Callithrix jacchus: one gene and its partner. The protein of the gene in region 2 binds, or shares a complex with, the protein of the main gene of each other region. Links are inferred from orthologs where the notes say so. Each region holds a gene or a part of one and is shown on either strand. Other genes may lie near its edges.

Evidence for each region. Proteins that work in one complex are often made in the same cells at the same time.
Region 1: the proteins of ALB (region 2) and FCGRT are in contact, whole or in part, in a crystal structure (PDB 6QIO), measured with the Homo sapiens proteins. The link is inferred for Callithrix jacchus from reciprocal best matches to the Homo sapiens genes ALB and FCGRT. Residues at the interface, in NP_000468.1 of Homo sapiens: Arg105, Glu106, Thr107, Tyr108, Gly109, Glu110, Asp113, Asn133, Asn135, Gln441, Ser443, Pro445, Thr446, Glu449, Leu484, Leu487, His488, Thr491, Pro492, Val493, Tyr521, Val522, Pro523, Lys524, Thr530, Phe531, Thr532, Phe533, His534, Asp536; in NP_001129491.1 of Homo sapiens: Arg65, Glu67, Glu69, Gly72, Ala73, Val75, Trp76, Gln79, Val80, Ser81, Trp82, Trp84, Glu85, Lys86, Thr89, Arg92, Asn172, Lys173, Leu175, Thr176, Leu179, Phe180, His184, Glu188, Arg192, Gly195, Asn196, Trp199, Lys200, Glu201.

Annotation. Positions count from the first base shown.
Region 1 is NC_133523.1:43,278,000-43,285,591, forward strand, and holds the start of FCGRT (IgG receptor FcRn large subunit p51), read left to right. Parts: upstream 1-3,506; 5' UTR 3,507-3,596; intron 3,597-5,081; exon of another isoform or gene 5,082-5,246; 5' UTR 5,247-5,260; coding exon 5,261-5,333; intron 5,334-5,981; coding exon 5,982-6,251; intron 6,252-6,336; coding exon 6,337-6,612; intron 6,613-7,592. UniProt on the Homo sapiens protein: Cell surface receptor that transfers passive humoral immunity from the mother to the newborn. Binds to the Fc region of monomeric immunoglobulin gamma and mediates its selective uptake from milk.
Region 2 is NC_133504.1:124,640,612-124,647,733, reverse strand, and holds the end of ALB (albumin), read left to right. Parts: intron 1-118; coding exon 119-216; intron 217-1,383; coding exon 1,384-1,522; intron 1,523-2,104; coding exon 2,105-2,328; intron 2,329-3,500; coding exon 3,501-3,633; intron 3,634-4,233; coding exon 4,234-4,275; 3' UTR 4,276-4,301; intron 4,302-5,785; 3' UTR 5,786-5,954; downstream 5,955-7,122. UniProt on the Homo sapiens protein: Binds water, Ca(2+), Na(+), K(+), fatty acids, hormones, bilirubin and drugs. Its main function is the regulation of the colloidal osmotic pressure of blood. Major zinc transporter in plasma, typically binds about 80% of all plasma zinc.

The sequences.
Region 1 (7,592 bases), on a different chromosome or scaffold from region 2:
ATGATCCGCCTGCCTCAGCCTCCCAAAGTGCTGGGATTACAGGCGTGAGCCACCGCACCCAGCCCGCCTTTTCCTTTTTCTTCAGGGTATCGCTCAGTCATCCAGGCTGGAGTGATAACACTATCATGGCTCACTGCAACTTTGAGGTCTTTTTCTTCAGTTTTAGGAAGGACGGCTGTGATGAGGAATGTCTAGGCAGACCCCTGGGAGGCCTCCTGGCTAAAGCCCAGGCCACTGTAATAGCAAGGAGAGGAGATCAGAATGGGGCAAGGAAAGATGCCCCAGATGACCATGGCGGGCTGAAGCACGGCCTCAAAGACGTCCATGCCCTAATCCCCCAAAACCTGTGACTGTGGCCTTGTATAGAAAAAGGGACTTTGTGACGTGATTAGGTGAAAGGTCTTCAGATGGAGAGATGATCTTGGATCAGCCAAGTGGCCCTAAGCATAATCACAGGACTCCTTCAGAGAGGGAGGCCAGGCAGTCCACATGGTAGAGAGAAGACCTGAGGATGGACATCCGGGTCAGAGAGGGGAGAGGATGCTGTGCTGCGGGCCTTGAAGATGGAGCAGTGGGCCATGAGCCAAGGAATGCTGGCGCCCTCTAGAGGCTGGGAAAGGCAAAAACACGGATTCTTCCCTGGAGCCTCCAGCAAGAGCACAAAACCTGTGAGTATCCTAGGTGGTTCAAGAAGCTTTCCGAAGGCCAGGCACAGTGGCTCATGCCTGTAATCCCAGCACTTTGGAAGGCCAAGGCAGGCGGATCACGAGGTCAGAAGTTCAAGACCAGCCTGGACAACATAGTCAAACCCCACTTTTAAAAAAAAAGAAAAAAAAAATGAGCTTTCTGAATGTCCTGGTAATATTACAGCAGGGCCCTGGGGACATGAGAGCTAAGGCTGGTTTTAGAGGAGGACCCCACAGTGATGGCAGACTTCCAGGAAAAGCAGAGCAGGCTCCTGGGGGCACTGAAACAGGCCGTTGAGGACTCCGTCAGGGTCCAAAGAACCGTAAAATGGGCCCCAGGGGCTGCTGGAAGAATGTCCTGAAGATTTTACAGGATCCCAAGGAAACCAGAGGGGACAGCTAAGGACAGGGCAGGTGCCTCAGGGTATTTTTGGGAAGAGCTGAGGATGCTGTAATCAGGGTACTCGGGAGGTTAAAGCATGTTCTTTCTGTGTCTTAGGAGCGGGCCTCGGGCGGTTCTCTGTGGATCTTCTCGCAGGACTCTGGGAGAATCAGGAAGGTGAAGACATTCGTGACAAGGAGAGCACAGATTAGAGATTTACCTGATGGTTAAGTTTTTTGTTGTTGTTTTTGAGACAAAGTCTCGGTCTGTTGCCCAGGCTGGGGTGTTAAGGCGTGATCTCGGCTCACTGAAACCTCCAAATCCCAGGTTCAAATGATTCTCCTGCCTCAGCCTCCCGAGTAGCTGGGATTACAGGTGCCCACGACCGGGCCAGGCTAATTTTTAGTACAGACAGGGTTTCGACATACTGGTTTCGAACTCCTGACCTCGGGTGATCCGCCTGCCTCGCCCTCCCAAAGTGTTAGGATTACAGGCGTGAGCCACCACGCCCGGCCTTTTTTTTTTTCTTTTTTTTTTGTAAATAGAGACAGGGTCTCCCTATGTTGCCCAGGTTGGTCTCAAACTCCTGGACTCAAGCGATCCTCCCACCTTGGCCTCCCAAAGTGCTGGAATTACAGGCATGCACCACCACGCCTGGCGTCCCATCAGACTCTGAACCAGCTAATTGTCCACTAATCCTGGAGACCAGTTCCTAAAATGAATCTCTCTCTGTGTATGCATATACACATTCTGTGGGTTCTGTTTTCCAGAGAGCCTGACCCAGCAGTCCCACTCCCGGTGTATACCCAAGAGAACTAAAAACAGACCAGGTGTGGTGGCTCACACGGTCATCCCAGCACTTTGGGAGGCCAAGGTGGGAGGCTGTCTTGAGCCCCTCAGTTTGAGACCAGCCTGGGCAACATAGCGGGGCACTATCTCTGCAAAAATGCAAAAATTAGCTGGGCCTGGTGGCGGGTGCCTGTAATTCCAGCTACTTGGGGAGGCTGAAGCAGGTGGAGCGCTTGACCTGAGAGGTTGAGGCTACAGTGAACCATGATTGTTCCACTGCAATCCAGCCAAACCCTATCTCAACTTAAAAAGAAAGAAAGAAAAGACTTCATGTTTGTTATATGATTCAATTTCTATGAAATGTGCAGAATCGGCGAATCTATTGAGACAGAAAGCAGAGGAATGGTGGCTGGGGGCTGGGAGCGGGGTGGTTAACGGGAGCAGACCTTCTGTTTGGGGGTGATAAAAAAGCTCTGCAACTCGATAGAGGTGACAGTTGCAAAGCATTGTAAATGTATTAAATGACAGTAAGGGTAAATTTTTTTTTTTTTTTGAGACAGAGTTTTGCTCTTGTTACCCAGACTAGAGTGCAATGGCACGATTTCGGCTCACCGCAACCTCCGCCTCCTGGGTTCAAGCAATTCTCCTGCCTCAGCCTCCTGAGTAGCTGGGACTACAGGCGCGCACCACCATGCCCAGCTCTTTTTTGTATTTTTAGTAGAGACGGGGTTTCACCTTGTTGACCAGGATGGTCTCGATCTCTTGACCTCGTGATCTACCCGCCTCAGCCTCCCAAAGTGCTGGGATTACAGGCGTGAGCCACCAAGCCCAGCCCAGTTTTTTTTTTTTTTTTTTTTTGAGACGGAGTTTTGCTCTGTCACCAGGCTGGAGTGTATGGTGACAGGGTGCATGGCACCATCCCGCTAACTGCAATCTCCGCCTCCCAGGTTCAAGCAATTCTCCTGCCTCAGCCTCGAAAGTAGCTGGGATTACAGGCACGCACCACCACACCCGGCTAATTTTTGTATTTTTAGTAGAGATGGGGTTTCACCATGTTGGCCAAGATGGTCTCCATCTCCTGACCTCGTGATCTGCCCACCTCGGCCTCCCAAAGTCCTGGGATTACAGGCGTGAGCTACTGCGCCCGGCCAGTAAGGATAAATATTTGGAATATTTTACCCCAGTGAAACAAGTGCATAGGGAGCTTTGTAGCAGGAGTGTGGGTGGGGCCGCAGCTATGGGGACTGTGTGGCCACTGAAGCCCCATCAGGATGTTAAAGAGCACCTGCAGGAACTTTTTAAGGGGATGCGGCGGGGCTTGAAGGAGACACTATGGAGGCTTCCAGAAGGTTCTGATGAACAGTGGGCGCTGGGGAGGGCCACGGAGATACAAAGGGGCAGGAGGAGGATCCAGAGACCTCCAAGTTGTGGACTCTGGGAGCGTCCAGTTCCTTTCCTAGCTCTGCCAAGAATTCCCTGGGAGGTGGGCACCCTCCAAGTAAAAAACAGGAACCATGGAGAAGGAGGAAAAAGAACCACAAACGTTTTGAGAAACAAACAGGCTGGGCCTGGGGCCTGGGGTGTGCCCTGCAACTGGGGGGTGGGGCTGGATTTTGTTGGACTCAGGGAGCAGCAGCCTCCCCTCCCACAGGATGTGAGAGAGGAACCGGGGTCTCCAGTCACGGGAGCCTGGAGCCAGCCAGGGCCGCAGGCAGGAAGAGAGCGAGGCTGAAGGGAACGTGAGCAGAACAGGGCCCAACTGAGGGAGGAGGGCTGGGGGGTCTGGACTCCTGGGTCTGAGGGAGGAGGGCTGGGGGTCCGGACTCCTGGGTCTGAGGGAGGAGGGGCTGGGGTCTGGACTCCCGGGTCTGAGGGAGTTGGGGCTGGAGGCCTGGATTCCTGGGTCTGAGGGAGGAGGGGCTGGGGGTCTGGACTCCCGGGTCTGAGGGAGGAGGGGTAGGAGCCTGGATTCCTAGATCTGAGGGAGGAGGGGCTGGTGGCCTGGACTCCCGGGTCTGACGGAGGTGGGACAGGGGCCTGGATTCCTAGATCTGAGGGAGGAGGGGCTGGGGGTCTGGACTCCCGGGTCTGACGGAGGAGGGGCAGGAGCCTGGATTCCTAGATCTGAGGGAGGAGGGGCTGGGGGCCTGGACTCCCGGGTCTGAGGGAGGAGGGACAGGGGCCTGGATTCCTAGATCTGAGGGAGGAGGGGCTGGGGGCCTGGATTCCTAGATCTGAGGGAGGAGGGGCTGGGGGCCTGGACTCCCGGGTCTGAGGTGAAGGAGGAGGGACAGGGGCCTGGATTCCTAGATCTGAGGGAGGAGGGGCTGGGGGCCTGGACTCCCGGGTCTGAGGGAGGAGGGACAGGGGCCTGGATTCCTAGATCTGAGGGAGGAGGGGCTGGGGGCCTGGACTCCCGGGTCTGAGGGAGGAGGGACAGGGGCCTGGATTCCTAGATCTGAGGGAGGAGGGGCTGGGGGCCTGGATTCCTAGATCTGAGGGAGGAGGGGCTGGGGGCCTGGACTCCCGGGTCTGAGGTGAAGGAGGAGGGACAGGGGCCTGGATTCCTAGATCTGAGGGAGGAGGGGCTGGGGGCCTGGACTCCCGGGTCTGAGGGAGGAGGGACAGGGGCCTGGATTCCTAGATCTGAGGGAGGAGGGGCTGGGGGCCTGGACTCCCGGGTCTGAGGTGAAGGAGGAGGGACAGGGGCCTGGATTCCTAGATCTGAGGGAGGAGGGGCTGGGGGCCTGGACTCCCGGGTCTGAGGGAGGAGGGGCTGGGGGCCTGGACTCCCGGGTCTGAGGGAGGAGGGACAGGGGCCTGGATTCCTAGATCTGAGGGAGGAGGGGCTGGGGGCCTGGACTCCCGGGTCTGAGGGAGGAGGGACAGGGGCCTGGATTCCTAGATCTGAGGGAGGAGGGGCTGGGGGCCTGGACTCCCGGGTCTGAGGGAGGAGGGGCTGGGGGCCTGGACTCCCGGGTCTGAGGGAGGAGGGACAGGGGCCTGGATTCCTAGATCTGAGGGAGGAGGGGCTGGGGGCCTGGACTCCCGGGTCTGAGGGAGGAGGGACAGGGGCCTGGATTCCTAGATCTGAGGGAGGAGGGGCAGGAGCCTGGACTCCTGGGTCTGAAGGAGGAGGGGCTGGGGCTTGAAGGCGGTGGAAGGGGCGGGGCCTGGACTCTCAGCCTATCAAGTTTCTGTAACTAATTAACCAGCGGCGCTCCAGTTTAGGGGTGAAAGTTCTTCGGGTGGGAGGCGGGCGTTGCTGGCCGTCGGGACGGAGCCCGCAGAGCCCCTAGTCGGCGTCCCGGTCCGGCCCTGCCCGCGGAGCCTCGGAGGAAGGGGCGGGCCGGGGGTCGGGAGGAGTCACGCGCCCCCTCCCGCCCCAGGTCGTCCTCTCAGCATGGGGCTCCCGCGGCCGCAGCCCTGGGTGCTGGGGCTCCTGCTGTTCCTCCTGCCTGGGAGCCTGGGCGCAGGTGAGGGCCGCTCCGGGCCGGGGCCGTGCAGCGGGCGGGCGGCGGGAGGCGGCCCCAGGCGGGACGGGGCGAGGCCAGCGGGACCCGAGTTCCCCGGGAGCGCCGAGCGCTGCCTCCTCCACTCCGTTCCCTTTCTCTCGGTCTCCTCCCCGGCCTAAGGCTGCGAACCGCCTGTCGCGTCTGTCTCTGGGTCTCCGTGCCCTTCTCTCTCTCTGGGTCTGTCCCTTCCCCCCGTCTGTGTCTCCCCCTCTCTCTCTGGGTCTCTGTCCCCCTCTCTCTGGGTCTCTGTTCCCCCCTTTCTGTGGTCTCTGTCTTCCCCCTCTCTCTGTGGGTCTCTGTCCCCTCCTCTCTCTGGGTCTCTGTCCCCCTCTCTCTCTGGGTCTCTGTCCCCCTCTCTCTGTGGTCTCTGTCCCCTCCTCTCTTTCTGGATCTCTGTTCCCCTCTCTCTGGGTCTCTGTCCCCCTCTCTCTCTGGGTCTCTATTCCCCTCTCTGGATCTCTGTTCCCCTCTCTCTGGGTCTCTGTCCTCCTCTCTCTGGGTTTCTGTTCCTCTCTCGGAATCTGTCCCCCTCCCTCCATAATAGATTCTTCTCCCTCCCTGGGTGTCTGTCCCACTGCAGTCTAGTTCCCACCCGTGTGCTCGCTTCAGCTCTGTCTTTGTCTGCAGAGAGCCACCTCTCCCTCCTGTACCACCTCACCGCAGTGTCCTCGCCTGCCCCGGGGACTCCTGCCTTCTGGGCGTCGGGCTGGCTGGGCCCGCAGCAGTACCTGAGCTACAGCAGTCTCCGGGGCCAGGCGGAGCCCTGTGGAGCTTGGGTCTGGGAAAACCAAGTGTCCTGGTATTGGGAGAAAGAAACCACAGATCTGAGGATGAAGGAGAAGCTCTTTCTGGAAGCTTTCAAAGCTTTGGATGGCAAAGGTGAGACTCGGACTCCTGGGTCTCAAGGGGCGAGAGGCTGGGGCCGTGCTTCTGGGCCCCGCTTACCTGCGTGTGGGGGCCCCAGGTCCCTACACCCTGCAGGGGCTGCTGGGCTGTGAACTGGGTCCTGACAACGCCTCGGTGCCCACCGCCAAGTTCGCTCTGAACGGCGAGGAGTTCATGAGTTTCGACCTCAAGCAGGGCACCTGGGGTGGGGACTGGCCTGAAGCCCTGGCCATCAGTCAGCGGTGGCAGCAGCAGGACAAGGCGGCCAGCAAGGAGCTCACTTTCCTGCTACACTCCTGCCCCTACCGGCTGCGGGAGCACCTGGAGAGGGGCCGCGGAAACCTGGAGTGGAAGGGTGAGCCCCCTGCAGCCCAAGCTGTTCGTCCTCTCCCCCGCCACGACCCCTGCCTCAGGGCTCCTGCCAGGACCCTCAGTTGGCCTCCCACTGAAGCCCATGGTCTGCCCCCGCTTCCTCAGGCGTCCTTCTGAACCCAGCACTCCCTGCCCCCCGCCCGCTCACAGCCTTCACATGGCTCCCCAGAGACCCCCCCAGGATAAACTCCTGGCTTCCTTGCCTTTGTGTGTGTGTGTGTGACAGAGTCTCACTCTGTCGCCCACACAGGAGTGCAGTAGCATGATCTTGGCTCACTGCAACCACTGCCTCCCGGTTCAAGGAATCCTGCCTCAGCCTCCCTGTAGTCCACAGGTGCTCACGACCACACCCAGCTAACTTTTGTATTATTATTTTTTTTTTGAAACAGAGTTTCGCTCTTGTTACCCAGGCTGGAGTGTAATGGCGCGATCTCGGCTCACCGCAACCTCCGCCTCCTGGGTTCAGGCAATTCTCCTGCCTCAGCCTCCTAAGTAGCTGGGATTACAGGCATGCGCCACCATGCCCAGCTAATTTTTTGTATTTTTTAGTAGAGATGGGGTTTCACCATGTTGACCAGGATGGTCTCGATCTCTTGACCTCGTGATCCACCTGCCTTGGCCTCCGAAAGTGCTGGGATTACAGGCTTGAGCCACCACGCCCGGCAACTTAATTTTTGTATTTTTAGTAGAGACGGGGTTTCACAATATTGGCCAGGCTGGTCTCGAACTCCTGACTTTGTGATCCACCTGCCTCAGCCTCCCAAAGTGCTGGGATTATAGGGGTGATCCATTGTGCCTGGCCTTTGCCTTTTTTCTTTTTTGAGACAGATTCTCACACTGTCTCTCCAGGCTGGAGTGTGGTGACACAGTCTCGTCTCTCTGCAGCCTAAACCTCCCAGGCTCAAGCGATCCTCCCACTTCAGCCTCCCGAGTAGCTGTGACACAGCCCAGCAGCAGCACACC
Region 2 (7,122 bases):
TATTCATGTGGATTTCAGAAGCTAGGAGAAAATATATGGTTCTGACCAGAGGGGTGAAAAACAACCTGCATCTGATCCTCAGGTGTGGTACTATCAACACAATTCTTTTATGTTTCAGTTTGATGAATTCCAGCCTCTTGTGGAAGATCCTCAGAACTTAGTCAAACATAACTGTGAACTTTTTGAGCAGTTTGGAGAGTACAAATTCCAGAATGAGTAAGTAATTTTTATTGACTAATTCTTGATCAATTTGTACTTATTTAAGACTTAATATATGAGCCACCTAGCATAGAACTTTTAAGAATGAAAATACACTATATATTTCTAATCACTCTTTGTCACAAACGAAAGGAGAGGAGAGGTAAAATAGTTGATGGGTTGGAGAGGCTTATATTTCAATGTAGTCTAAAAATTGTTCTTAAGACTGGAAGTATGTCACCTGGGAGGGCAAATAACAAATCTTGGTATATCAGAACTGAGGATGTTCCTTGAAGATTAAGGAATAGTTAATGGACAAATAGAACATGGCAATATTTTGTAGAGCAGGAAGTAGTAGGCCTTGAATAGCAGTTGCTCAAAAAGTAATATATAAGCTGAAAAAAATATAGTAAAATGAATTAGATATTTGAATATTAAGTTCAAGTTCTTTGGGAGATGTGCCTAGTCTTTGCTGGTTAAACCTTATGTTTCTGTGGAATTTCTCTCCACAGAAGAGATAGAGACAGAATGGCTTGCTGGACTAATGTCCCAATTCAATAGAGCCTTACCTATGAAGGTAAAAACAAGAAGAGACATATTATACTGTAGATATTTATTGTGTGGCTCATACACATAGTGCTCTTCTGATTATGGGTTTTAGGGATAACAGTGAACAAGACATAGTTGCTTCCCTCAAGTAGATTACAGTCATATGTTGACTTTTAATGGTGATTGACATTCTTAATACATTATTATTATGTATTAGATACCATGTCAGATTAATTATGTTTTATTACTTTTAATTTAATCCTTTAACTACCCCTATTGAGTCAGATATATTTCCTCCCATTTCCTACTTGTATCTTTCAAATTTAGCATCTGAAGCTCTCTCCAGGTTTTATTGAAAAAAGAAAGAAAGAAATGTATGAATGTCACTGAATTAGGTAACTCACTTTCCCAAGATTATACAAGTGGTACAGCTGGAAGTCAAAGCCAGGTTTAACTAGTTGTTCAGAAGCAAGTTTTCCCCCCTACACTAACCTATTACTCTCAGATGGAGATAATATGACAAATGGAGCATAGGAACATTTTAGTTGATTCTGACCAAGTGTTCTCTGTTTTATTTTCTATGTTAGACAGTTTCTTGCCTGGCTGAAAACACATTGACTTCTTTTTTTTTTTCAGGCTATTAGTTCGTTACACCAAGAAAGTACCCCAAGTGTCAACTCCAACTCTTGTAGAGGTCTCAAGAAACCTAGGAAAAGTGGGCACCAAATGTTGTAAACAGCCTGAAGCAAAAAGAATGCCCTGTGTAGAAGACTATGTGAGTCTTTAAAAAACATAATAAATTAAAAACACAAAATTTTACCTTTAGATATTGATAATGCTGACTTTTAGGAGCATAAGGGAGTAATGTGTGTGTTCATGTTTTTGTGCGTGTGTGTGTGTGTGTGTGTGTGTGTGTGTGTGCATGTATGTGTGCTATTGGCAGCCAGGGCCCCAGAGATGATAAATTGTTTTTTAAAAATTTATGCATTTTCAGGGTTCAATCCTAATGTTCTCTAAATTTTTACTTTCTTTGGGGGATCTATTCTTTAATGTATCATTATAGGACTATTTCTTCTTCACTGTAACACATGTCTCAGCACATATTGCCTGAAATTATTTTCATCAATTGTTTTCTCAAGCAAATTATTCTTGAAATGTAGACATTTAATTAAAAGGAAGAGACTTTTGAAAGTCCTTATTTGTAGTTTAAACACAAGTCACTGCCTCAAATCAATTTTGGATTCAACATTGCTAGTTGAAACATAATACTTATTTTGGTGCACTGGAAAGTCAGAAGTTCATGGAAAATTTTCAGCTTTAACTCTTTTGAATTTTTGCTCTCCTGCCTGTTCTTTAGCTGTCCGTGGTCCTGAACCAGTTGTGTGTGCTGCATGAGAAAACACCAGTAAGTGACAGAGTCACCAAATGCTGCACGGAATCCCTGGTGAACAGGCGACCATGCTTTTCTGCTCTGGAAGTCGATGAAACATATCTTCCCAAAGCGTTTAATGCTGAAACATTCACCTTCCATGCAGATATGTGCACACTTTCTGAGAAGGAGCAACAAGTCAAGAAACAAACGTGAGAAGTATTTCATTACTGCACGTGTTTGTAGTCTTGATGGCAAGAACTGTCAATTCAAATTATTAACTTTTCCTGAAGTAGTGATTACATTTCTTAGAGGAAAGTATTGCCATTATTATGCTGATAAAAGTACCCAGAATAAGATGAATAACTTTTTAAAGACAAAATCCTATGTTATAATATTCCTAAAATTATTCAGAGTAATATTGAGGAGTAAAGCCACCATAGAATAACATCTTAGGCCATGATCAGTAGAAAAAGGTGAACAATTAACTGATAAATTTGCACACATGGCAACTTATTTAGTAGGAACCATAGGATAATTTATTTCTAGATGTAAATAATTATTTTAAGTTTGCCCTATGGTGACCCCACACATGAGACAAACACCCAAGATGTGATTTTTATGAAAAAGACTTGAATAAAAAACATCTAGAAATGCAAGCCCTGAAGCTTAACTCATTATTGCTATCACAGGGGTTAGAATTGCATGAAATTTAGCAATAGAAAGTTGCTGTCATCTCTGGTGGGCTGTAATCACGGTCTAGGCTTAAGAGTAATATTGCAAAACCTGTCATGCCCACACAAATCTCTCTCTGGCACTGTTGTCTTTGCAGATGTCAATGAAAGAGAACCAGAAGCTCCAATGAGTTTGGATAGCCTTATTTTCTATAGCCTTTCCATTAATGACTTTGAATGGAGCAAAGTTTAAAGACCAAATATAAAGACTCTCATCTTTATAGATGAGAAAAATTTTAAATAAATTCCAAGATAATTAAATTTTAAGGATAAGTTTTAGCTCTTAAATAGCTATAAAACCCAATATAACATAATATGGCACGTCCAAAATCTGAATAATATATAATTGCAATGACATACTCCTTTTCAGAGCTGTACTGAAAAGATATTTGTTGATACTACATAACATGATGAGTGGTTTATACTGATTATTTCATCTGATCTCCATGAAGGTGGATTTTATTATCCTCATCATGCAGATGAGAATATTAAGACTTATAGAGTTATGCCTGAGTGCCAAAGTACTCAGAGTTGGGGGTTCCAAGATTTATAATCTTAAATGATGGGACTACCATCCTTACTATCTCCATTTTTCTATGTGTGAGTAATGTTTTTCCTGTTTTTCTTTTTCTTTTTCCATTCTAACTCAGTGCACTTGCTGAGCTCGTGAAACACAAGCCCAAGGCAACAAACGAGCAACTGAAAACTGTTATGGAGGATTTCGCAGCTTTCGTAGAGAAGTGCTGCAAGGCTGACGATAAGGAGGCTTGCTTTGCTGAGGAGGTACTACAGTTATCTTCATTTTAATATGTCCAGTCTTCATTTTTGCATGTTTGGTTAGGCTAGGGTTTAGGGATTTCTATATCAAAGGAAACTCTGTACATGTGGGACAGGGATCTTATTTTATAAACAATTGTCTTACAAGATGAATAAAATAGCTGTTTGTTTTATCTCCTGCTCTATTGTGCCATCCTGTTAAATGTTTATAATGCCTGTTCTGTTTCCAAATTTGTGATGTTTATGAATATTGGTAGGAATATTTTTAAGGCCTGATCATTAAATCAAAACATTAATTTATTTAAACATTTTCTTGAAAAGTGGTGGTTTGTGATTTAGTTGATTTTATAGGTTACTGGGAGAATTTACATTCAAATGTCTAATCACTTAATATTGTCCCTTGTGGCCTGACAATACTTTTTTTTATTCCTTTGGGGACAACTATGTCTGTGAGCTTTCTTCTAGAGATTATAGTAGTGAATTGGAATTAAAGGATATGATGCATATGAAATCATTTTGCAATCATCAATAGCTTCATAAATGCTAGTTTTGTATTCTAATAGTAATGCTAATATTTTCCTGATATCTGTATTTCTTTTTATTCAGGGTCCAAAACTTGTTGCTGCAAGTGAAACTGCCTTAGCCTAAAGACATGGTAACTAAGAGCATCTCAGGTAACTACATTTTGAATTTTTTTAAAAAAGTAACTATAATAATAATAATTATTAAAAGAGCAAAGATTGACCATTTCCAAGAGCCATATAGACCAGTACCAACCACTATTCTAAACTATTTATATACGTATATATTAGCTTTAAAAATTCTCAAAATAGTTGCTGAGTTGGGAACTATTATTATTTCTATTTTGTAGATGAGAAAATGAAGGTAAACATCAAAGTATAGGTTAAGTAATTTTCCAAAGGTTCACCCAGCTAGTGAATGGTGGAGACAAAATACAAAATTCAAACCAAAGTCTAAGTGTTACCCATTATCCTATCCTAACTTATATGTCCTATTCTAACTTATATCATTAGTATTAGAGAATAGTAATTCCTAGAGTATTCCCTGAAGAGCCATCCAAGTAAGTTATGGCTCAGCAGGGAATACTCTAGGAATTAGGCCAAACCATACGAAAGAGGCCTTTATAGGGCAAATACAGTTGAATATCAGTTATTTCATATGGTTCAACTTAATAGTTCAACTAATTCTTTCCATTGGACAATATGATGGATCTGCCTTCTGTGAACTTTATAGTGAACAATCTGCTATTAAATTTCCAATTTGTCAACAAGCTGAGCTTTAATAGGACTTATCTTTTTATGACAAAAGGGCCCACTTTAAAATGTAGATGTTCGAGCATAAGCATGTTTTACCTATTTTGTGTGAATTATTTTGGAAGAATTAAAAAATAGAACCACAACAGAACATGTTGTTAAAAATAAGTTATTCAACTACTTTAAAAAAATAGAGATGGGAGATATCTCTTTGTTGCCCAGGCTGGTCTCAAACTCCTGGGCTCAAGCAATCCTCCCACCTCAGCTCCACCCAAAAAGTACCGGCATTACAGGTGTGAACCACCATGCTGGCTTCAACTACTTTTTAAACATGAGTTATTTTCATATTTTCCAAACTGACTGTGATGTCTACTCTACTATTATGATTTAACTTCCTCTTTGCCCATATGACAATACCTACATATGCATTCAGGCAAGAAAGAAACTTTGCATCTCTACAAATTTGGTAGTGTGAAGATGTGATTTGTTTTGGTCCTAAGTGGAAAGATTTTCTTCATAAAGTTCTAACTTTGAGAAGATATGTTTTTGCTTGTAATAACTTAGGTAAGATATAGAGGTTGAATAAATAACTCTGAGGAGTGATGATGAAAAGCCTCTGACTTTGAAGCTTGAGTCTGATGGCACCAATGGTGTTCCCTTTCACCAATGGTGAAAAAGGAGCTTCACAACTTTTATTGGTGTGTCCTTTTGCCTAGCTCAACAAAAGGAGAATTCAGCAGCCATAAGACTACGACAGGCTTAAATTATTTTCACTGGCGGAAATTGCAGAAAGATGGCCTAAGTAATTTGGCATTTATTTTAATAGATTTGAAAAACACAGCCATTTTGCAAATAGGGCTGATATTTGTCCTTTTGTTTTTCAGCCTATCACGAGAATAAGAGAAAGAAAATAAAGATCAAAAGCTTATTCATCTGTTTTTCTTTTTTGTTGGTGTCAAGCCAACACCCTGTCTAAGAAACATAAATTTCTTTGATCATTTTGCCTCTTTTCTCTGTGCTTCAATTAATAAAAAATGAAAAGAATCTAAAAAAGTGGTCCAGCACTGTTATTTTTCAAAGGTGTGTTGCTATCCTGAAAATTCTGTAGGTTCTGTGGAAGTTCCAATGCTCTATCTTATTCCACTTCAGTAGAGGATTTCTAGTTTCTCGTGGGCTAATTAAATAAAACATTAATACTCTTCCAAGTTATGGATTACAAATATTAAAAATAATATTTTGATATAATAACTATGAATAAAAGAACAAAAACTATGGTATAGGTAAGGAATGTAAAACATGGCTTTTCTCTCAGAAAAAAACAGTTCTAAAATTCATATGGAATCAAAAACAAGAGCCTGCAGAGCCAAAGCAACACTAAGCAAAAACAACAAATCTGGAAGGATTGAATTACCTGATTTCAACCTATACAAGGGCATAGTCACCAAAACAGCATGGTACTGGTATAAAAATAAGCATATAGACCAGTAGGAACAGAATAGAGAACCCAGAAAGAAACCCATATACTTGTAGCCAACTGATCTTAGACAAAGCAAACAAAAACATTAAGTGGGGAAAAGACACCTTTTCAACAAATGGTGCTAGAATAATTGGCAACCATACGTAGGACAATGAGGCTAGATCCTTATCTCTCACCTTATACAAAAATCAACTCAAGATGGATTAGGAGCTTAAATTGAGATCTAAAACTATAATAATTCTAGACAGTAACATTGGAAAAACACTTCTATATATGAGCTTAGGCAAGGATTTCATGACCAAAAACACAAAAGCAACTGCAATAAAATCAAAGATAAATTGCTGGGACTTAATTAAACTAAAAAGTTTTGCATGGCAAGAGAAACAGTCAGCTGAGTAAACAGACAACCCACAGAGTGGGGAAAAAAATCTCACTATCTACACATCTGACAAAGGACTAATATCCAGACTACAATGAACTCAAACAAATCAACAAGAAAAAACAATTCCATCAAAAAGTGGGCTAAGGACATGAATAGACAATTCTCAAAAGACTTAAAAATGAACAACAAACATGAAGAAATGCTCAACATCACTAATGATCAGGGAAATGCAAATTAAAGCCACAGTATGATACACCTTACCTCTGCAAGAATGGCCATAATCAAAAAATTTAAAAATAGTAGATGTTGGCACAGATGCAGTGAACAGGGAACACTTCTACACTGCTGGTGGGCACGTAAAC